Macaca fascicularis: one gene and its partners. The protein of the gene in region 1 interacts with the protein of each later gene in a biochemical or structural test. Links are inferred from orthologs where the notes say so. Each region holds a gene or a part of one and is shown in the gene's direction. Other genes may lie near its edges.

Evidence for each region. The genes of interacting proteins can lie anywhere in the genome.
Region 2: the proteins of EP300 (region 1) and NEUROD1 form a complex in vitro, tested with the Homo sapiens proteins (3 studies listed by BioGRID). The link is inferred for Macaca fascicularis from reciprocal best matches to the Homo sapiens genes EP300 and NEUROD1.
Region 3: the proteins of EP300 (region 1) and NFYB form a complex in vitro, tested with the Homo sapiens proteins (2 studies listed by BioGRID, with this or other methods). The link is inferred for Macaca fascicularis from reciprocal best matches to the Homo sapiens genes EP300 and NFYB.
Region 4: the proteins of EP300 (region 1) and NAP1L1 form a complex in vitro, tested with the Homo sapiens proteins (3 studies listed by BioGRID and IntAct). The link is inferred for Macaca fascicularis from reciprocal best matches to the Homo sapiens genes EP300 and NAP1L1.
Region 5: of the proteins of EP300 (region 1) and H1-1, one has a biochemical effect on the other in vitro, tested with the Homo sapiens proteins (2 studies listed by BioGRID). The link is inferred for Macaca fascicularis from reciprocal best matches to the Homo sapiens genes EP300 and H1-1.

Annotation. Positions count from the first base shown.
Region 1 is NC_088384.1:10,445,309-10,450,309, reverse strand, and holds part of EP300 (histone acetyltransferase p300), read left to right. Parts: intron 1-537; exon of another isoform or gene 538-640; intron 641-777; coding exon 778-928; intron 929-1,049; coding exon 1,050-1,196; intron 1,197-1,740; coding exon 1,741-1,854; intron 1,855-2,636; coding exon 2,637-2,802; intron 2,803-4,439; coding exon 4,440-4,604; intron 4,605-5,001. UniProt on the Homo sapiens protein: Functions as a histone acetyltransferase and regulates transcription via chromatin remodeling. Acetylates all four core histones in nucleosomes. Histone acetylation gives an epigenetic tag for transcriptional activation.
Region 2 is NC_088386.1:77,224,163-77,228,714, reverse strand, and holds the start of NEUROD1 (neurogenic differentiation factor 1), read left to right. Parts: upstream 1-1,241; 5' UTR 1,242-1,329; intron 1,330-2,907; 5' UTR 2,908-2,918; coding exon 2,919-3,989; 3' UTR 3,990-4,552. UniProt on the Homo sapiens protein: Acts as a transcriptional activator: mediates transcriptional activation by binding to E box-containing promoter consensus core sequences 5'-CANNTG-3'.
Region 3 is NC_088385.1:111,066,101-111,070,586, reverse strand, and holds the start of NFYB (nuclear transcription factor Y subunit beta), read left to right. Parts: upstream 1-1,175; 5' UTR 1,176-1,238; exon of another isoform or gene 1,239-2,035; intron 2,036-3,846; 5' UTR 3,847-3,925; coding exon of another isoform or gene 3,926-3,931; intron 3,932-4,486. UniProt on the Homo sapiens protein: Component of the sequence-specific heterotrimeric transcription factor (NF-Y) which specifically recognizes a 5'-CCAAT-3' box motif found in the promoters of its target genes.
Region 4 is NC_088385.1:82,918,683-82,923,201, reverse strand, and holds the start of NAP1L1 (nucleosome assembly protein 1-like 1), read left to right. Parts: upstream 1-1,208; 5' UTR 1,209-1,265; coding exon of another isoform or gene 1,266-1,308; coding exon 1,309-1,423; intron 1,424-1,590; exon of another isoform or gene 1,591-1,703; intron 1,704-4,519. UniProt on the Homo sapiens protein: Histone chaperone that plays a role in the nuclear import of H2A-H2B and nucleosome assembly.
Region 5 is NC_088378.1:146,911,944-146,915,156, forward strand, and holds H1-1 (histone H1.1), read left to right. Parts: upstream 1-1,495; 5' UTR 1,496-1,553; coding exon 1,554-2,201; 3' UTR 2,202-2,202; downstream 2,203-3,213. UniProt on the Homo sapiens protein: Histone H1 protein binds to linker DNA between nucleosomes forming the macromolecular structure known as the chromatin fiber. Histones H1 are necessary for the condensation of nucleosome chains into higher-order structured fibers.

The DNA of each region.
Region 1 (5,001 bases):
TTTGGAAACAAGGTTTCACTGTGTTGTCCAGGCTGATCTTGAACTCCTGGATTCAAGCAATCCTCCCACCTCAGCCTCCCAAAGTGCAGGGATTAGGATTATAGGTGTGAGCCTTGTGTCCTGGCCATTGTTCTGTTTGTTTTTGTTTTTTGGGTTTTTTTTTCTTTTTTGAGACAGAGTCTCGTTCTGACACCCATAGTGGCACAATCTCGGCTCACCGCAACCTCCGCCTCCCGGGTTCCAGCGATTCTCCTGCCTCAGCCTCCTGAGTAGCTGGGATTACAGGCGTGTGCCACCATGCCCGGCTAGTTCTTGTATTTTTAGTAGAGACAGGGTTTCAGCATGCTGGCCAGGCTGGTCTCGAACTTCTGACCTCAGGTGATCTGCCCGCCTCAGCCTCCCAAAGTGCTGGGATTACAGGTGTGAGCCACTGCAACCAGCCCCTGTTCTGTATTTTTATAAACTCTTCCAAAATTGGAAATTTTTCAAAATGAAAAGTTGGGGAAAATGACATTTAGAAATTATTGAGTACTGTGTCTGCTTTAACAGCACATATATTAAAATTAGAATGATACAGAGAAGATTAGCATGTTCCCTGCACTAATATGACATGCAAATCTGCAAAGTAGTGAATACTTAAATATGCTGTGATTTTTTAAAATTTCACCAAGTTACCCTGTTTGTATTGAAAAAAGTACAAATGAGATTTAAGGTTGAACCTTAAGACTAACAATAGTAAATCTGCACCTCAGTAACTTTTAACTTCTACATTCCTAGGGTTGCCATCTACCAGACTTGGCACCTTTCTAGAGAATCGTGTGAATGACTTTCTGAGGCGACAGAATCACCCTGAGTCAGGAGAGGTCACTGTTAGAGTAGTTCATGCTTCTGACAAAACCGTGGAAGTAAAACCAGGCATGAAAGCAAGGTATCTAGTCATTTCACTTTTCTTCTCTTGTGGATCCAAAATTGCTCATACGTGGTTACCATTGGTGATTGCAATCTGAATGAATTTATGTTGTGGTCCTCCCACTATCTCAATTGTATAGGTTTGTGGACAGTGGAGAGATGGCAGAATCCTTTCCATACCGAACCAAAGCCCTCTTTGCCTTTGAAGAAATTGATGGCGTTGACCTGTGCTTCTTTGGCATGCATGTTCAAGAGTATGGCTCTGACTGCCCTCCACCCAACCAGAGGTATGACTGGCTCACAGTGGCTAGCTCCGGATTTGTGTGGGAGTTCCAAATTATAATAGGCGGAAGAGTATAACAGGCAAGAAAATGTTGAGTGTGCTTGGTTTGGAAATGCAAAATCTCAAGTATACAATAATTGTAAAGTGAAACAGATTAAAAAGCAAACCCCCAAACAAAATAACTGCTTGATTCTGCTCTTCTGTGGCCATAATAATAAAGGATATGAATAGCAACCTGAAATGGGAATTTGGAAACAAACGTACTACTCTTCAGAAAATGAGCTTAAATCTGGATAATGTATAGGAATCACCAAATACTGATGGATGTGTATGTGCCAGGCACTGCTAGTTACTTCAAATAGAAGGAAACCACAGGCTCGCTGAACTTTCCTGAAGGGTTCACAGTGGAGTCGCCCACCTGCCTGTGATGAGTTTCATAAATAACGATGTGAGCAAAGAGCCTGGGAGAGTGAGAGAGAGTTATTAGGCACATGGAATAAATAACTCAGTAGATTTGACTTTTCTTTTTTTCTCTTCATTTTGTATAGGAGAGTATACATATCTTACCTCGATAGTGTTCATTTCTTCCGTCCTAAATGCTTGAGGACTGCAGTCTATCATGAAATCCTGATTGGATATTTAGAATATGTCAAGAAATTAGGGTAAGCATATTTTGATAAATTTTTTTTTTATTAGGACATTCTGGTGAGATACAGGTTAAATTTGCAAATATGTAACTCTTTGCCTTTTTTTCTTCATTTTAGTTCTTACCTAACAAGTCTCTCAACTTTGTTAGAGCCCCTTCGAAGTTAATGTTGTCAGTAAGAGAGAAATGGATATGTTGACTCTATCACCTATCCAACATCAGTTTTGTTTTGTTCAGCTGAGCTATTGGGTCGTTTGCTTTGAAGTTTGATTTGTGCCTCTCATTTGAGGGCAGAATTTTAACTGCATTTGATCCTTTTATAACCTGGGTATCAAGACCAGAAACAGCTCTGGAAATACTTCTTACCTTTAGAGTATGTATGTCATTGGAAACATTCATTCCCTCATCTTGAAGACTGTTTCTCTGAATAGTGTGCCTTTTAATTTAGCTCTCTTGTTAAACGGGTCAATTTTCCTTCACAACGTAATCTTCATTTGGTCTTAACATGCAAACTTAGGGTTTTTGGATCCAGGGCTAAGTCATCTGCTTTCTGGCTGAGATTCACAACATCCCGCCATGGCCTCCAAAAATAAGTAGAGGCAGTATGAGATCCATTGTTTAAATTACTGTGAGTTATGCCTAATTTTGGTCTCACAATGTTAATCTCATGCTGGGTTATACACTGTGTTATCTTGGGAAAAATTATTGGTATCTATATCAACTCCACCTTGTGGTTTTAAAGTGTAGCCTTCTAGAATAGATGATCTTTTTTCCTTAATGTTCTCTTTGTATTGCTAGTTACACAACAGGGCATATTTGGGCATGTCCACCAAGTGAGGGAGATGATTATATCTTCCATTGCCATCCTCCTGACCAGAAGATACCCAAGCCCAAGCGACTGCAGGAATGGTACAAAAAAATGCTTGACAAGGCTGTATCAGAGCGTATTGTCCATGACTACAAGGTCAGTTGGGACATGGGGGCCAGGTGCTGACAGTAGATCTGGAAATACACTAATGTTGCTGCTCTGTATTCTGTCATTTAACTTTTTTTTTTTTTTAAACAAAAGTCTTATTTGTTCTACCTCTTGCATGTAATTCCTAAAAATGCTAATTTGATTGCTTTTATTTTGTATATTCAAAATTTTCTAATGTAAGAAAAACCAGGTTTTGAAGAGTGGTAGATCAAGAAGATCAAGAGATCCCTGTTTTAAAAAACATGTAATCAAAATTTTATTTTATTTTTTTTTTTAGGGGGGTACAGTTGGGGTATCGCCATGCTGCCCAGGCTGGACTTGAACTTTTGGCCTCAAGCAGTCCAAAGTGCTGGGATTACAGGCATGAGCCACTGTGCCTGGCCTTAAAATACATCTTTTTGTTTGTTTGGTTTGGGTTGGTTAGGGTTTTAGGGGTGGGGATGTTTTGTTTTCAGACAGGGTCACTCTCTGTCACCCAGGCTAGGGTACAGTGGCATGATATCTGCTCACTGCAACCTGTGCCTCCCAGGCTCAAGCCATCCTCCCACCTCAGCTTCCTGAGTTGCTGGGACTACAGGTGCACACCACCATACCTGGCTAATTTTTGTATATTTTTTGTAGAGACAGGATTTCACTATGTTGCCCAGGCTGGTCTCAAACTCCTGAGCTCAAGTGATCCACCCATCTCAGCCTCCCAAAGTGCTGGGATTACAGGCATGAGCCACCTCACCCAGCCAAAAATATGGTTTTTTTTTGTTTGTTTTTTGTTTTTGGACAGTTTCACTCTTGTTGCTCAGGCTGGAGTGCAACGGTACAATCTAGGCTCACTGCAATCTCTTATTTCCCAGGTTCAAGCGATTGTCCTACCTCAGCCTCCCGAGTAGCTGGAATTACAGGCATGCACCACTACACTGGGCTAATTTTTTGTATTTTTAGTGGAGATGGGTTTTCTCCATGTTGGTCAGGCTGGTCTCGAACTCCCAACCTCTGGTGATCTACGTGCCTCAGCCTCCCAAAGTGCTGGGATTACAGGTGTGAGCTACTGCACCTGGCCAAAAATATATTCTTTCTTAATACTATTTTAAACATTCATGAATATAGGCTGTCTCATGATACAGACTTGTCTTCCTCAATTTAGTAGTTCAACTAAATAAAGAAGTTTTCCTAAGCTGCCCAGCGAATCATTCTGCAGCAGATACTGTTTCCAGTATTTGTAGTTTTGGGCATTTTGAACAAAGCTATCAATAAAAGCTGCTGAAATTCCAAAGATGGGTGTGAGGAGGGCATGCCTCACACCACATACTCTGTGGTAAGGGCCATGGCTTGCATGATGGTGCTACCACCCTGACATCGATCCTCGCAGAATAATTGCCACTTGATTATATAAAGGCAGATAAGCTCCCTGCTTTTGTGGGTAGAAGAAATAGAAAACCAGAAATACTGACTTTAGGCCAGGCCTTTTCACTGTTTTTCTAAATAGCTCCCTGGTTTATGGCTTAGGTATATAGTCTCTGCCAGCTTTCAAGACATTTTAAGCTTTCATGTTTCTTGTCAGCCATGATTCTTTATAATCAATGCTTTAAAAGAACATAGGAATTCCTATTTGTACATGCTTGTTTTCACAGGATATTTTTAAACAAGCTACTGAAGATAGATTAACAAGTGCAAAGGAATTGCCTTACTTCGAGGGTGATTTCTGGCCCAATGTTCTGGAAGAAAGCATTAAGGAACTGGAACAGGAGGAAGAAGAGAGAAAACGAGAAGAAAACACCAGCAATGAAAGCACAGATGTAAGGGCATTGAGTTTCCTTTGAAACTTCTATAATATTTAATCCAAAAGTGCATTTAAACTTTTTTTTTTTTTTTTTTTTTGAGACGGAGTCTCGCTCTGTCGCCCAGGCTAGAGTGCAGTGGCACAATCTCTGCTCACTGCAAGCTCCGACTCCCGGGTTCACGCCATTCTCCGGCCTCAGCCTCCCGATTAGCTGGGACTACAGGCGCCCGCCGCTGTGCCTGGCTAATTTTTTCTATTTTTAGTAGAGACGGGGTTTCACCATGGTCTCGATCTCCTGACCTTGTGATCCGCCCGCCTCGGCCTCCCAAAGTGCTGGGATTACAGGCGTGAGCCACCGCGCCCGGCCTAAACTTTCAATTGGGTTTTAAACCTCTCAGGTGTGAAAGAGCTCT
Region 2 (4,552 bases), on another chromosome or scaffold:
GCGCAGGTCCGGCTGTGGCGAGGTGTCCACCACCGTACTCATGGTCAATGCCTGGACTAGAGAGCCGAGGCCATGCAGGGCGGGCTGGCCAGGTAACTGGAAGCGTCCCTGAACTGGCTGAGAGGAGGTGCCTTTTGCAGCAACCCAGTGGCCATGGCTAAAAGGCAGAATCCAACCGTCAAAGAAGCCCCCAGCTCCCACATAAGAAAGCGCAAAGGCCAATGGAGCCAAGGCCTCCTCGAGAGAACTAGCTCGCTTTGAGGACAAGATCCTGGGGATGGAGGTAGGGACTGACGTAGTGAGAGGGTCTGGAGGGACAGTGGTAGCTGAGAGTCAGGACACGAAGGATTGAACGTATGGTAGGGATAGAATGGCAAGTACAAATTTTCTGTACTTAAGGAACTGGGAGAGGACGATCCGGTTAGAGAGGATGGGGAACTAATCTCAACGCTGCGTTTACAGAAGAAGCCGCTTTTATATGGCGTATATGTTTGCTTAGAGGGGCCGAAGGAGATTAGGAGAAGCCATCCGTTGGCGCCAATGATCAAAGCGTCTGCCAAGGAGAAGAAGCCAAGGGATGGGCCTTTCAGACAGGGCAGGGAGTCATGCTGCTCTGGATGCCAGTGCCAGGACAAGAAATCGAAAGGAGCGAGGACTCTTCACTGCGTGCCTCAGTCTCCCCCTTCTGCCTCTTTCACCTCTGCCCTACTTCCGGCGTGAAAGCAGGCCACTCTCTCTGATGTAGACCAACTCAACATTAGCTTTTCCCTTCCTTCCCTCAAATCCCCTCCCCCCTCTATCCCCTGTCCCTTCTGCCGCCTGAAAGGGTTAATCTCTCCTGCGGGTAAAAACAGGTCCGCGGAGTCTCTAACTGGCGACAGATGGGCCACTTTCTTCTGGCCACAAAGGGGCCGGAATGGAGCGCTCCGCGGCATACAAATGGGCAGGTCACGTGGTTCCAGGCTCTTGGCTGGACCGGGAAGACCATATGGCGCATGCCGGGGAGGAAGGAGAAGGGGCGGGAGTAGGGGTGGAGGGTGAGGGGAGCGGTTGTCAGAGGAGGGCGGGAGACAAGCAAGGCGTGGGGAGAAGTGGGGAGGAGGGGAGAACCGGGAGCGCACAGCCTGGACGCGTGCGCAGGCGGCAGGCGCAGAGACCTGCTAGCTCCTCAGCTAGCAGCCCCGCCCGCGCTTAGCATCACTAACTGGGCTATATAACCTGAGCGCCCGCGCGGCCAGGACACGAGGAATTCGCCCACGCAGGAGGCACGGCGTCCGGAGGCCCCAGGGTTATGAGACTTTCACTGCTCAGGACCTACTAACAACAAAGGTAATTACAATTCTTTCATTTTTTTGCCCTAGAATAGAAGCAATAACTGAAGACTGATGCACCTACATATTCTGTATGTGTGCGTTTGCGAGCGTGTGTATGTGTGTTGAGACCAGCATCCCTCTCCATAATTGCCCATAAGTACTCACACATAATGAGTCGTGTCACTCAAGTACCCCCTGCAGGCTTTCTAATTTAAATTTTAAGAATTTGGGTTTCTTTTGTGGATAGCATAGGAGCTTGGATTTTTTAAAAGAATACACAGTAATTATGATTATCTGCTAGTGCTGATTTTAAAGTCCCAAAAGCAATAATGACTTCATTTTCTCACTTCTTACAATAAGAAAAAAAAAAGCTGTGTTATCAATATATATTTTGTGTGCATGTATTTTACGCATATTAGGAGTGTCAAGCTGTGTTTTCAGTGAATGAAAGCGACATGGATACCTTGAGTATTCACACCATGGAAAATAAATCAGGTTCAGAGATAGTTTAGTTGAGAGGGGGGAAAGTGAAGAAAGGGAGAGGGACTCACTCCTGCTACCTGTTACCGCTCCAGAGGCGGCCAAGTCCCCAGCAGCCACTACTGGAGCCAGAAATGCAGTTGTTTTACTAACGGCTTTTTATTTTCCTTATTAGAAGCAGCAACTTCGCGGTTGCCAATCGCTGACCATTATAATTACTCAATTTTTTAAAGGGAGGTTTGAGGCGAACTTTGAAAAGCCTCAATAAAGAGCGGGCGGCCCTTTCAATGGGCTGTTTATTAGAGAGGAGCCTTCCGCACCTGATCCCCGGCGCGTGGGAGAGCGCTCTGCGCCGCGCCCCCAGCCCTCGCCCTGCAGCTAGCGCTTTTGTACAAGGTGGAAATTCAGCGTCGGGCCAGAGATGGAAGGCAAGAAAAGAAAGGCGAGGGAGGGGTGGAAGACCCTGTCCACTTTTGTTGCCAAATGTTACATTGATGGTGGAACAATTTGGCGGAAACTATTTTTCCTCCTTTCTGCATTTGCTCTTCAGTATCCCGTCTGTGTAATCTTCTTAAAAATCGCTGCCAGTATTAGTAAATTGCGCAATGGCTCTTCAACTTAAATCGCTAAGTACCTAGAAGCCAGGACAAAAATGGAAGCAGAATGTGTGATTTTTCAGCTCATTTGTGTGTGTGTGTCTGTGTGTGTGTGTGTGTGTGTAGTTGTGAGTGACTTTGAACACATTTGGATAAACATGAAGTCACTGAAATGTACAGTCATTTCCACACACATTATCTTGTCGGGCAACCACCATAAACACATTTAAGTTAATCACTAGGATACAAACACATATGCGTGAGTGGTGTACACATATACATATTCACTGCCTTCCCCCAGTCCTGTCCTCACTCCTACGTACCAGCGGGGCACACGCACGCGCCATTATAAAACACTGCATTTAACTTTTTCTCGGAGGCATTCATTTTGTAATGGGCAGGTACTTTTCTCAAGCATTTGTACAGATTGAGGGAGTGGAAGCTGAAGGCGTATCTGGCTTTTGAATATAGCGTTTTTCTCCTTTTCTTTCTGTTTGCCTCTACCCTGTTGAATGTAGGAAATCTAAACATGACCAAATCGTACAGCGAGAGTGGGCTGATGGGCGAACCTCAGCCCCAAGGTCCTCCAAGCTGGACAGACGAGTGTCTCAGTTCTCAGGACGAGGAGCACGAGGCAGACAAGAAGGAGGACGACCTCGAAGCCATGAACGCAGAGGAGGACTCACTGAGGAATGGGGGAGAGGAGGAGGACGAAGACGAGGACCTGGAAGAGGAGGAAGAAGAGGAAGAGGAGGATGACGATCAAAAGCCCAAGAGACGCGGCCCCAAAAAGAAGAAGATGACCAAGGCTCGCCTGGAGCGTTTTAAATTGAGACGCATGAAGGCTAACGCCCGGGAGCGCAACCGCATGCACGGACTGAACGCGGCCCTAGACAACCTGCGCAAGGTGGTGCCCTGCTATTCTAAGACGCAGAAGCTGTCCAAAATCGAGACTCTGCGCTTGGCCAAGAACTACATCTGGGCTCTGTCGGAGATCCTGCGCTCAGGCAAAAGCCCAGACCTGGTCTCCTTCGTTCAGACCCTTTGCAAGGGCTTATCCCAACCCACCACCAACCTGGTTGCAGGCTGCCTGCAACTCAATCCTCGGACTTTTCTGCCTGAACAGAACCAGGACATGCCCCCGCACCTGCCGACGGCCAGCGCTTCCTTCCCTGTACACCCCTACTCATACCAGTCGCCTGGGCTGCCCAGTCCGCCTTACGGCACCATGGACAGCTCCCATGTCTTCCACGTCAAGCCGCCGCCGCACGCCTACAGCGCAGCGCTGGAGCCCTTCTTTGAAAGCCCTCTGACTGATTGCACCAGCCCTTCCTTTGATGGACCCCTCAGCCCGCCGCTCAGCATCAATGGCAACTTCTCTTTCAAACACGAACCGTCCGCCGAGTTTGAGAAAAATTATGCCTTTACCATGCACTATCCTGCAGCGACCCTGGCAGGGGCCCAAAGCCACGGATCAATCTTCTCGGGCACCGCTGCCCCTCGCTGCGAGATCCCCATAGACAATATTATGTCCTTCGATAGCCATTCACATCATGAGCGAGTCATGAGTGCCCAGCTCAATGCCATCTTTCATGATTAGAGGCACGCCAGTTTCACCATTTCCGGGAAACGAACCCACTGTGCTTACAGTGACTGTCGTGTTTACAAAAGGCAGCCCTTTGGGTACTACTGCTGCAAAGTGCAAATACTCCAAGCTTCAAGTGATATATGTATTTATTGTCATTACTGCCTTTGGAAGAAACAGGGGATCAAAGTTCCTGTTCACCTTATGTATTATTTTCTATAGCTCTTCTATTTAAAAAAAAAATACAGTAAAGTTAAAGAAATGCACCACGAATTTGGTGTAGCTGTATTCAGATCGTATTAATTATCTGATCGGGATAACAAAATCACAAGCAATAATTAGGAACTATGCAATTTTTAAACTAGTAATGGGCCAATTAAAATATATATAAATATATATTTTTCAACCAGCATTTTACTACTTGTTACCTTTCCCATGCTGAATTATTTTGTTGTGATTTTGTACAGAATTTTTAATGACTTTTTATAATGTGAATTTCCTATTTTAAAACCATGCAGCTTCATCAATTTTTATACATATCAGAAAAGTAGAATTATATCTAATTTATACAAAATAAT
Region 3 (4,486 bases), on another chromosome or scaffold:
CTATGTATACATTATCCCAAATGACCCTGAGAAGCAGACATTTGGGCAAGATCACAAGCCAGTAAGAAGGGGAGCTGGAATTCAAGTCAGGTTGTCTGATGACAGTGGCATTGCTACTTACTCCTCTTTTCACAATTTGGGGCTTTCATTTGTCCTTTCTTCCATACTTGCCCCAGAAATGTTTAAATACTCTGAGAAACAGTGGGAACTCTATAAATAAAAGATCTCTCTGTATTTTTACATAATCAAAGCTAGAGAGTTTCATGTGGCGCAGGCCACTCGGTTAGTGGAAGCAGAGGGCACGCCATCCCCAGATCCAGTTGCAGTGAGTGGTGTTGGATTACCCACCTCTGGGATGGTCACTGCTGAGCGAAGCTGGACCCGGGACTGCAGTCAGAGAAAGCGAAGGAGCTTGGCTGCACAGAGGCAAGAACGGGCCACGGATTCTTGCAGCCAAAATGTCATCTGGTTGGGAAAAGCCGCTTGACAATTTGCAGCTACTAGAGGGGCGGGGGTGGGTGGAAAATGCAGCATCTTAAGTTCAAGATTCAGGGTGAAGGCTGGCTAGACTTAGCAGGGGTCTGCATCTTTAGATGAGATGTGAAAAACACCCAAGCTCAGGGACCAAATAACAGGGAGCGCTGTGCCTGCAGCGACGGTAACAGGGACCCAAGGAAAGAAAACACGAGGCGCTGAAGGCGCTCCAAGAGGTCCCCGCCGTTCAGACTCTCCCCGTGGCCCGGGCGCGTCGTCCTAGGGGGCGGCTTCTGTCCCTGGTTTCCCCTTCTTAAAAATCCAGGCGCAGGCAGGCTGAGCTCGGGCGGCTGAGACACCTTCACGTGGCGGGGGAAGGGGTGACAAGGAGAGGGAGGCCCGAGAGATCCCGCTTGGCACAGGCCCGGGTCAGCACAGGGAAGAAGGCCCGCCTAGACCCGAACTGCGCGCCCGGGCCGGGCCCTAGAAGACCTCGCGCCAAAAGGAGCGGGATCCGGAGCTGCGCGGCGGCCTCATAGGAGCGCGGGGCGGGGCCGGGGGCGGGGCGGGGCGGAGCCGCGGCGGGCGGGCGCGCGGGCGGCGCGGAGGGAGGGTGTCGCGCCGAGGGAAGCGGCCCGCGGCGGAGGGAGGGGAGGCCGAGTCCTGGAAGCGGAGCTCCGCGCTGGGACTGGTTCCTTCGCAGCCATTTTCTGTCCAACCAAACAGCCGATTGGAGACGGGAGCCAACCAGGGCTGCATTGGAGGTTTGTGTCTCGCTTCGGCCAATGATCGCTCCTAAACCGACTCCACTTTAGCTCGAATGAAATGTCCGTCTCCTCCCGGCGCCGTCCCCGCCGCCAACGCCGCAGCGGCCGGGGGCACTCGCCTCCCGCCCTCCCGCGCGGGCCGGGGCCGGGGCCCGCGCCTGCGAGGCCGCTCCCGCAGCGGGCCGGGCCGGGGAGCGGGCGCGGGGCCGCGGCGCGGCTCTTTGTGCGCCGGGCTGAGGAGCGGCGGGACGCGGGCCAGGCCGCCTCCCGCTCGCCGCCGTTGAGCTCCGGGCCCGAGGCCGAGGAGGGGCCGCGGGGCTGCGTCGGGGCCCCGCTCTCGACGGCTTCCCGGGCCGGCTCCATTTTGTGCGGGGAGCCGGCGGAGGGGCGGGAGACGCGGCGCGGGCCCTGGCCCCGTAGCCCCGGCCGCGGCGCGGGCCCCCGGGGGCGCCCCCCTCCCGCCCGCGGGGCTGTGGTGGGGCCCGGCGCTTTGTCTCCCCGCACATCCCGAGGGCCGCGCGGCGGGCGGGAGGCAGGCGTTGGGCGCGGGGGCCGGGGCGGCCGGGCGAGTCAGGGGATGCGCTCTGGGGGCGGCCTCCCGGCACTCGCAGGGCTGACAGGTCGCCCGGACCGGGCCGTGAGGCTGGGGCCACCCAGGCACCTGCGTGGGGAGGAAGGCATGGCTTTGGCTTCCCCGCAGTCTGGTTTGCGCGTAAAGAATGCAGCCATCTGGCGGCTTGCGGTCCCAGGACTTGCCCCGAAGGTGGGAAGGAAGCCCTTCGGATTGGACTAAGGTTTTAATCATTAGTGGTGGGAGGCGGGAGGATATGCAGGGCCTTAAGGAACGGTAGTCTTAGAGAACAAAGAATTACAGAGCACCCACAAATCATAATCTCGCTCAAAGCACTCTAACAGGATAATTTAAGGTTAGGTAGCCTGCGACCTTTAAAAAAAAATGGCATCCCACTAACCCGCATGGACCCCATAGTTCCGTGGTTCGTGCCACAAATCACTGGGGTGGTTTCATCTCTCTTAGTATGGAAACTAATCAGCAACATAAAGTGATGAAAGCAAACGGATCAATATCAGTGGCACTAATCAGTGGGGGTTTTATTTGTAAAGTATTGAAAGTTTAACCAAAATTCCTTAAAAGGCAAATTATTCCTTCCCTGCGCTGCTCTTGTATCTTAATTTAAGGATTACTGTATATTGATGCAAAACTCTGGTTGTTGATGCCAAAGAATGGAGGGTGGAGGAAGGGACTACTGCTTTTCTTGGATACAAATTTGCATTTCTTCAAACATTAAACAGATGTATGCATTCCCTTGAGCTTTTACATATATCAACCTGCCCTTAAGAAAATATATACCATATGAGGTGGCCGTGTTTTTCTTTAATGTACTGAATCTAAATATATACTGAATCAACTCTTTGGGTGAGGGAGTGTGGTGTGACTCCCCTGTCCATACCCCCCTCCCCCATTCCAAGCAAAATACATAAATATAGCTCCCATATTTTAAGTGTTCTGAGGGCTTATTTTTTCAAAGACACCCTTTAAAAAAATAACATTTCTCGTTACAAGGAAGGACTTTTCTGAGCAGTTTTGGGGTTAGAGGATACTATTAATATTTGAAAATAAATTATGTTACTTTTAATATTATAGCAAATGTCAAGCAGTCTTTGCTACCTGGACCCTTTTAGTGGCATTAAAAACATTCAATTCAGTGGCTACAATTTTTTCTGCTGTTTGCTAGATTTCATGCTTGGATGCGTATCAGTATGTCTTCTCCCTTTAAAATTAACACTGAAAGGATGTGTTTTTGTTTTGGCATCCTACCCCTCACCCATTTAATTGTTTCCTTTGAAAAAGAGAAGGGAACAAATGAGAAATGAAACTTGTAACACTGCAATTGATACTAATTTGTTCAGCTATTTATGCCTTACAGTGAGACTGAAGTGCTATTTCGATGCAATTTTAGTCAAAAATGGTGGTGCTTCAAAATTATAAATAAGGGTCTTGATTGTGTTGCTTTTTTGATATACTCCCAGTGCAGAATGTATCTTCATTACAGTATAATCTGAGATTCTTAATTGGAAAGCATTATATTCTCAGATAATTTTTTCCTCCTTTTAAGCGATAGAATGCCTAAATGTTACTCTGAAACATGTAAGAAAACCGCCACCAAAAAATTAAGTTGATAAGGGGTGTATTTGCGTCGTGGGTGTTAATGTTTTAAGTGATTTAGATGTGTAATTTTTGGCGTCTTGCATATTATATAATTTGGTCCCTATTTGGTGTATTGTAATGAATGTTTATGATGAATATGGCTAAATTCAGGGTTATGTTGGAAAATCCATTTTCTCCTTTCCCCATGGAATTAACTTGTTTGTAAGTTCTCCAAAATAAATCTTTCAAGTCAACAAACATTTATTGGATGATGCCTTTTTATACTATTTTATACCATGCACTCCATGGATTATGAATCGTAGTCAAAATTGTACATGCCCTCTTTAATTTTATGAGAAAAAAAGCCTGTAAGTGATACATTTGATATATTTTTTACTACTGATAGATGTTAGGTCCTAATAGATGTTTATCTTTTAGGTTGAAATCACAAAGATTAGACACCTTTTTAGACAGGTATTCTTCAGCACCACTGACAACACGGTTCTGACAGTATTTCATGACAGTAAGTATGTTTTACCATTTTGGTTGTTAATTAGATTTGAATAGTAATTGGCTGGAAATAAAATTATAACTGATTTATACTGGAGGTGCCTGGTAGAATGAATGCGTTTCAAGTCTAGTCAGACAGTACCTCTGTTCATTCCTGTTGCTTCCTTATTTTCAGCTTTTTGCATATATTATTTCCCATGGGTCCCTAAGTGCTGTTGAGGCTACAGGGTAACCTGTCCCGGCTGTAAAGGGGCTGTCTGTTTAGCCAGTTAATTGAATACTTAGGGGACAGTTATGCCCAGAATGGAAAATGCTAACTCTTAAGTGCAGTAGATGTGGGAAGAAAGGCGTGATGGGCCTGGATACTTGGGAATGTCACAGAGGGATCCTGCAGACCTTGAACTGAGCCTTGAAATAGAGGGTGGGAGTGGATTGGTGAAGGGTATCGCCAAAAGCAAAAGCCTGGTGGCAGGATGGGCAACTTAAGTGGGGATCGGGAGTAGAGGTGCATGGTCCAGGGTAGATCTCAAAGGATAATGTAGGAAAGAGAAAGCACTTGTCCCCTCTG
Region 4 (4,519 bases), on another chromosome or scaffold:
AGTTGAGGACCCCAAAGAACTTTTATGTGCATTATTGATACTGATACTTATGTCAGAAATTAAAAGTGAGAAATTTTAAGAGTATTTCATTTAAAAACAATAAAGCAATCAAATATTAACAAAAATAATTTTTTATATGAAAAATAGGCCCGGTGAGGTGGCTCACACCTGTAATCTCAGCACTTTGGGAGGCTGAGCCGGGCGGATCACGAGGTCAGGAGATCGAGACCATCGTGGCTAACACGGTGAAACCCTGTTTCTACTAAAAATACGAAAAATTAGCCAGGCGTGGTGGCGGGTGCCTGTAGTCCCAGCTACTTGGGAGGCTGAGGCAGGAGAATGGCTTGAACCCAGGAGGCGGAGCTTGCAGCGAGCCGTGATCGTGCTACTGCACTCCAGCCTGGGCGACAGAGCGAGACTCCCTCTCAAAAAAAAAAAAAAAAAAAAAAAAAAGAAAAGAAGAAAGAAAAATAACTACTCCCTCTTGCCCCCAAATCGAGTTTTTGCAAATCTCTTTAACGTCTGGTTTAACCGCAGATGACTGGATTCTCCTATCTGCTTCTATTTTCAGTCTGTTTCCTTATCACATGTCACATAGCCTCCGGAAAACCCCACTGTACACTTGTGAGAGAATGAGAATGCAAAAGACAGTCTTGACATTAATATGGAAATAGTTTTGACCTTCCTCTTGAAAGGGTCTGGGGACCCTCAGACCATATTCTGAGAACAACTTTTTGAGTTATTGTTAGTCAATTCATCATCACTTGAAAATTAGTTATGAGGTTTTACAAGCCTGAGGATTTAATGCGATTTACTTTTTCAGAAAGATGAAACAACAGACATACTGAATGTCCTCATTACAACGCATCCAGAGAATGCACAAATATGCCATTTTCATCCGTCAAAAGAACTGAAGGGACTGTACATCAGGTACAAGTATGTGGCGGGGGGATGGGGAGCTAAGGATGACGAGCACCCCCTAAAGGCACGGAGACCCGCTGGCATAGTTCGAAGCAAAACAGGCAGAAGAGGCCGCCGAAGTGGTCTAGAGGAAAAAACTGTTTTTCTTAGGCGGGGAGGGAAAATAGTTACCGGGGGCCGGCGAGTTGCAGGAATTAGGCCCTGACAGGGAGCGCCCGCCGTCTAGGCTGCGGCGAGAGAGGGACCAGGCGACTAGCGCCCGCCCTCAGCATTCCCAGCACAACGCCGAAGGGGGCGGAGCGGGCCGGGCGCCGGGCACGCGGGCCAGGCCTTCCCCACAACTGATGGGGTTGAGATTTCCTTTCCGGCTCAGCGGGGAGAAAAGAGATGGTGGGGTGCTTAACAGAGAAGGTTAGACACCGGCGGGTACCAGAGGAGCCCAAGCGCGGCGCTGGGCCTCGGGGCTGCAGGAGTCCTGGGTCTGCAGGAGTCCTCGGCTGCGGTATGGAGGTCGCCGGGGAAGAAGGACGGTTCAGTTGCTAGGCAACCCGGCCTGGACCCGCCTCTCGCTCGCGTTGCTGGGAGACTACAAGGCCGGGGGGAGGGCGGCGAGAGGGCCCTACGTGCTGACGCTAATTGTATATGAGCGCGAGCGGCGGGCTCTTGGGTCTTTTTTAGCGCCATCTGCTCGCGGCGCCGCCTCCTGCTCCTCCCGCCGCCGCTGCCGCCCTGAGTCACTGCCTGCGCAGCTCCGGCCGCCTGGCTCCCCATACTAGCCGCCGGTAACGGATGGGGGCCTGGAAGGGAAGGGGGAACGTAGTTTTCGCTGGGCGGCCTGCGCAGATGGGAGGGCCGGAGGGATAGAGGGACTGGGAGCGGGGAGTCGGGGCCGCTGGCCGCCCAGGGCCTCCGGGGTCGTCCTGTGAGGTCGGACAGGACCGCGGAGTCTGGACCCCGGAGTCTGAGAGGGGCCCTAGGGCCGACCAGCGCTTTTATCTGGGACGGCTGAGGCGACTTAGGGGTTGGCGCGGCCTGGCGGCGTGAGGTTCTCTGAGCTCCACCGTCTTCTCCGCGTGTACCGGAGCGAGGCCGCGGTGACGCCCGGGTGCTCTGAGAGTCGACTGCGCCGCGGGGACCGGGAGGCCCCCGGCGTACGGGCCGGGCCAAGTGCAGAGCCGGCCGCCTTTTCGACACCCCCCTGCTTTTCCCTCAAAAATAATACCAGGAGGGAGGCCGCTGGGAGATGAAAGAACGGCGGAGGCTGCGAATTCCGACGGGAGGGAGGGGCTGTGGAGGGACGAGGCCCCGAGGCGGGGAGGGGGCGGGGGAGACTGCGACGCTCCCGGGCTCTCCGCCCATTGGGGGCGGCCGCGCGGGGAGGGGAAACCCCCCGGCGGCTTCCCTCCACACGTGGTAATGGGCTTCGTGGCCACCAGCTGGGCCTGGTTGGAGACCCTTGCCCTCGGGCTATCCTTACTTTGAAAGTTGTAGAGACGGTGGAACGTGAAAAGGGAGAGTAAGCTAGTAAGCCCTGTCCCTGGGTTTCAAACTCTTCCCTGCTTCTCTTTGGTCTTAATCTTTTTATTGGTACCGGAGATTGTGGATGTTAGCTGATGAGGAAGGGCCTCCACTGCTAGTATTTTAAAAAGTTAACGCGTATATAGCGCTTATGTTAACTGTTATTAGCAAAAGGTTGTTGTTGTGTTTCCCAGGTACAGTTAGATGGGTGTCTTGATCAGGATTTTTTATTTGGGGAGTATTGACCCTAATCGATCTAAACCCCTAAACCAAGCTTGTCCAACCCGCGGCCCAGGACGGCTTTAAATGTGGCCCAACACGAATTCATAAGCTTTATTATTATTATTTTGAAAAAGCTCATCAACTAGTTAATGTATTTTACGTGTGGCCCAAGACAGTTCTAATGTGGCACAGGGAAGCCAAAAGATCGGACCACCCCTGCAAACGGTTCTTAGATGAAAATAAAAAGTTTGGCCCTTTGTGACTTTAATTGTTCTTGGCTTTCTTATAAATTAGTTCGTTTATTGAAATCACTAGAATAAGATACTTAAACTGTTTCCTTTTTAAGATAGGAGGTAGGATGGAATGAGGTGTTAGTATAAACTTAGCCAAGTTTGTAGCCTGCAACCTTGTCAATGAACCCCACTCCCCTAAAGATCTCGGGGATGGCTTAGCCAAGTTTGTAGCCTGCAACCTTGTCAATGAACCCCACTCCCCTAAAGATCTCAGGGATGGCAGTGTAGGGAGGCTGGGACTGAGGTCCTATCTTAGAAGGCTAGACTTTGAGAGTACAAAAAGGATGAACCAGGCACAGGATGTCCTCAAGGAGCCCCTATTTTAGACGGTCACTGATCAGTTCTGAAACAACTACATTTTAAAAATATCACTGCTAACATTTTAAGGTATCTCACTGCTGCAATTAAAAATTCACACTGCTTCCCTGGTTTCAGAAGAGCTGTAAAATGAAATTTGGCCTTTTGAAAATAGGTGGATTCAAAACATCTTTGGAAACGGGTATCTGGGTCCTCTTTTTTTGGTCAGCTTAAATTAATACTCACTTTGGAGTTAATGGAATTAACTCACTTAAATTAATATTTACTTTGGAAGTAATACACATGACCTGTGATTGAATAAGGGAAAAACCTTTTACGTATGGGTTACCATTTAAAAATCAAAGGGAAATAAATGACATTTACAGTTATTTTCAAGGCACTCTTGTGTTTCAAGCTTGTTCGAATTGCCCAAGTTTAAATAAATGGCCTAAATCTATAGTTTAGTTCTAAGAATACTATCCTTTGGAGAATATGTGGAACTAAACCCTAGTAGGTGGACTTGGACATCTTCTATCATAAAACCTGACTTTCATAGATTCTCCTTCCAAGTCAACATTATGTTAATAAATAGAAATTTAAAAGTTTTCAGTACACCGATTTGAATATTTTTCTAAATTTTATCTGCTAGAAAGTACCTATTTTCATATTAGGCCCATTGATTTGCAGAATTATAAAGCTAATACCGAATATGGTAAATTACTGCACTTGGCCTTTAATGAGATTTTTGAAAAGAATACCTGTACCATGACGAGTGTAATCCAAAGTGCCATCTCTTTTTATTCAGCTTGCTCCTGTTGGCTCCTGGTAACTGAGTTGATTCTAAGTTGCTGAAAATATGTTAAAAACTAAGGGTCTTTTTGTAGAAGGGGCTACAGAAGCAGTATCTGTTGGACTTAAAAGGTCTGAAGATGTCAAAATACAGTATTTTATTTGTTTACTTCTTGGTTGTAAATTTGAAACGAAGGATTAGAATGAAACCTCATCAATATCAAAATATTAATGATCAGTGTATTCAGATCTTCAAGTTTAATCAAACCTGTAATTACTTGTGTTCTCAGTTTATTCTTTGGGTAACTATCTGGCACCTGTATGGACGTGTATCTCATGAGCAAAAGAGGCAAATTGGTTGCTTAGATGTGAAATGTCAAATTGTGATGAGAGCTGTGAAGGAAGAAAAAGGTAAAGGGGGCATAGGGTAATACAACGTTTGCACGAAGGAACCTGTTATAATTGATGATTTTAAATTC
Region 5 (3,213 bases), on another chromosome or scaffold:
TTTTCAGATACCTCGCTTATTACATTAAGAAAGGTTTATATCTTTCATAAAGGGTTTACTTACAAAAACCTTCCAATTTTATATACCTGTGTTTCATAACTGACTAGCCGTCAAACCAAGATGTATAGTTTCCAAATGTTATTTTCCAAATTTTAAGAAATTACGTGAAATATTTGAATGCGTGGCTTCTCAATAAAATAGACGTAGGAAACACTGGTAAAGAAGATGGGTACAATAGTTATCTGGGACTACTACAATTATTTGGTTGACACGTTGTTTGAAGAAAAAGGGAAAAAGCTCAGGTTACTTAGCACAGTTCGGACTTATTTAAAAACTACAACAGCACGAACGGAAATAGACCGCATTCCCTCACTCTCCGCTGTGTTAAGGGGTTATCCAGAATAGGATTGTAGAAGTGGATGTCGATTTAATAGTTTTTTTGTTCTCCCGTTAGCTGAGTCTCTGATTGGCAATGTGAGATCGTTTTAGCTTATTGATAATTTGAAATGCTCTTAACAGCCACAAACAAGCTAAAGAGAGGTTACCATAAAATCTTATCCCCAGGGTGTGCTTACACTTACCGTTTGTTTTCACACTAAGGAGACTTAACTCCCCAGCAGAATGCCTGTCGGGGAACCAGTTTCTTGGACCCAGCATTTAACGCCTTTCGCAGGTTTGTGAGGCCCATAAATCTTTGTTGAATAAAACAATGAGTTCACCATGTCATGGTGCGCTCATTGCATGTGCTGACATGGAACACAGGTTGTAAACCTTAACACCCATTTGGGGCATGTTGTATGGATGAAAAGGGCATTGGAAATTCCTGAAGTGCATCCCACATTGGACTGTGGAAGTAAGTTGCAAGTGCAGAAACGTTTCCACACTTGCAGTTTGAGTATTAATTGCAGCGTTAGTGAATTCTGGTGTTGTCTACGATTCATTCTTCTTTGACGTGAAAGGTATTCGCGAGACACATCGCTCTAAAACATTGCCAGAAAATGTAATCGAGTTGATGACTACTAGCCCTAACACGGCCTAAAACCCGCACTTTCCTCTTCCTCCCCAACTATTCAAACACTGTATTTTACATTTCTTGCAAATTAAAAACTAACATATCTGGCAACGGACCTCTAAAACTTTCTAATAAAACTCCCTGGATGCTTGTGGGGCTGCATTTGCAAACCGCTCCCCATCAACCTACTCCCTAAAACAGAGCTGCTTTTTGAGAGACAAGCGGCACCCTCTGATGTTACTAGGTGGCAGTCGGCCTACAATTTCCTTCACAATGAGGCAATCGGAGCGGCTTTTTCGGTGTGTTTGCTTGCGTTGAGGGGAGCGGGACCATAGGCCCTAGAGGCCCCCAGGTGCTCTCTGAGACTGGGGGAAACCCTCTGCAGAGCGCAGGGGGCGCTAGGGTGCGAGGGGCGGGCACTGACGGGCACCAATCACTGCGCAGTCCCACCCTATAAATAGGCTGAGTCGGGGCCTTTTTTTTCTCGCATCCTGCTTGGTCAGGTTTATACCAGTTTACTTGGTGTGCTGTATTAGTCACCATGTCCGAAACGGCGCCTCCCGCTCCCGCCGCTTCTGCTGCTCCTGAGAAACCTTCAGCTAGCAGGAAGGCAAAGAAACCTGCTAAGGTTGCGGTGGCCACTAAGAAAAAGCCTGCTGGCCCTTCCGTGTCAGAGCTGATCGTGCAGGCTGCTTCCTCCTCTAAGGAGCGTGGTGGTGTGTCATTGGCTGCTCTTAAAAAGGCGCTGGCGGCCGCAGGCTACGATGTGGAGAAGAACAACAGCCGCATTAAGCTGGGTATTAAGAGCCTGGTAAGCAAGGGAACGTTGGTGCAGACGAAGGGCACCGGCGCCTCGGGTTCCTTCAAACTCAACAAGAAGGCATCCTCCGTGGAAACCAAGCCCGGCGCTTCAAGGGTGGCTGCAAAAACCAAGGCAACGGGTGCGTCTAAAAAGCCCAAAAAGGCCACGGGGGTTAGCAAAAAGAACGTCAAGACTCCAAAAAATGCTAAAAAGTCTGCGGCAACAAGGAAATCCTCTAAGAGTCCCAAAAAACCCAAAGCTGTAAAACCCAAGAAAGTAGCTAAAAGCCCTGCTAAAACTAAGGCTATAAAACCCAAGGCGGCCAAGGCTAAGGTGACGAAGCCAAAGACTGCCAAACCCAAGAAAGCGGCACCCAAGAAAAAGTAAATTCGGTTGGAAACTTCTACTAACCCAACGGCTCTTTTAAGAGCCACCTACACACTTCGGGAAAAGAGCTGTAGTACACAGATGAAATTCCCCCAAGCAAATGCAATACGCCCTCATTTATATTAGAATCACTTGGAGAGTCAATAGGAACTTTAACATAGGTTGAGTAGTAAATTCTTGCCAGATGAGGCTATCAAAGATAGCAAGGTGAATTCAAATGCACCGAGTTAAAGTCGAATTTTAGATCACCTGTTTTGCTTTTTTTTTTTTTTTTAAGTAGCCCGAAGTCCCGCATCTCACGACCCCAAGCTAATTAGTCATAACTGTAACGAACCAAGGTTGAAGCCTAGTCCCAGGCTTGAGGCTTTTTTATTATACAAGGTTAAAGTGCGGACATTGCGTTCTTGGGTCAATATTGCTAAAGTAGCCTTTTCCGAAATTGGGTGGTCCTAAGAAATGCTTCTGGGATAGTAAGCAAAATTCATGGCTTAATCACGCCCTCTCGGCAGCAGTGGCTAGAGAGGTGTCTGTCCTTGGGAATGACGGTGACCCTTCTGGCGTGACTGGCGCCCACGTTGGCGTCCTCTGAAAGCCCCACCAGGTAGGCCTAGCTCGCTCGCTTTCTGCAGCGCCATCATGACAAAGCTTTGAAACGCAAAATGCTCTTGCTTTGCGCAGCGCTTTACCATGGGTGCACTTACAGGCTGTCGACTTGGTTTAGGCCCTCATCAGGACAAAGGAGCTTAGTTGCAATGGAGTTTTAGAGCTGCAACTCTAAAGCCCTTGCTCGGTTTCTCTGTTTTTAGAAACAGTAGCGACCTGATTGGATAATATTTGAAAATTACTATGCTTAACTGGATCGTGTTTCATCAATCGTGCAGGATTTTCAACCCTGGTGGAGCCCACACATTCAATACTGAAGATCCTTTTCTCAGAACTGCCCCTTTAAGCTTTTGCAATTTTAATTCTGGGGTTCAATTTTAATAACTGAACTTTTTTTTACATCTGACAA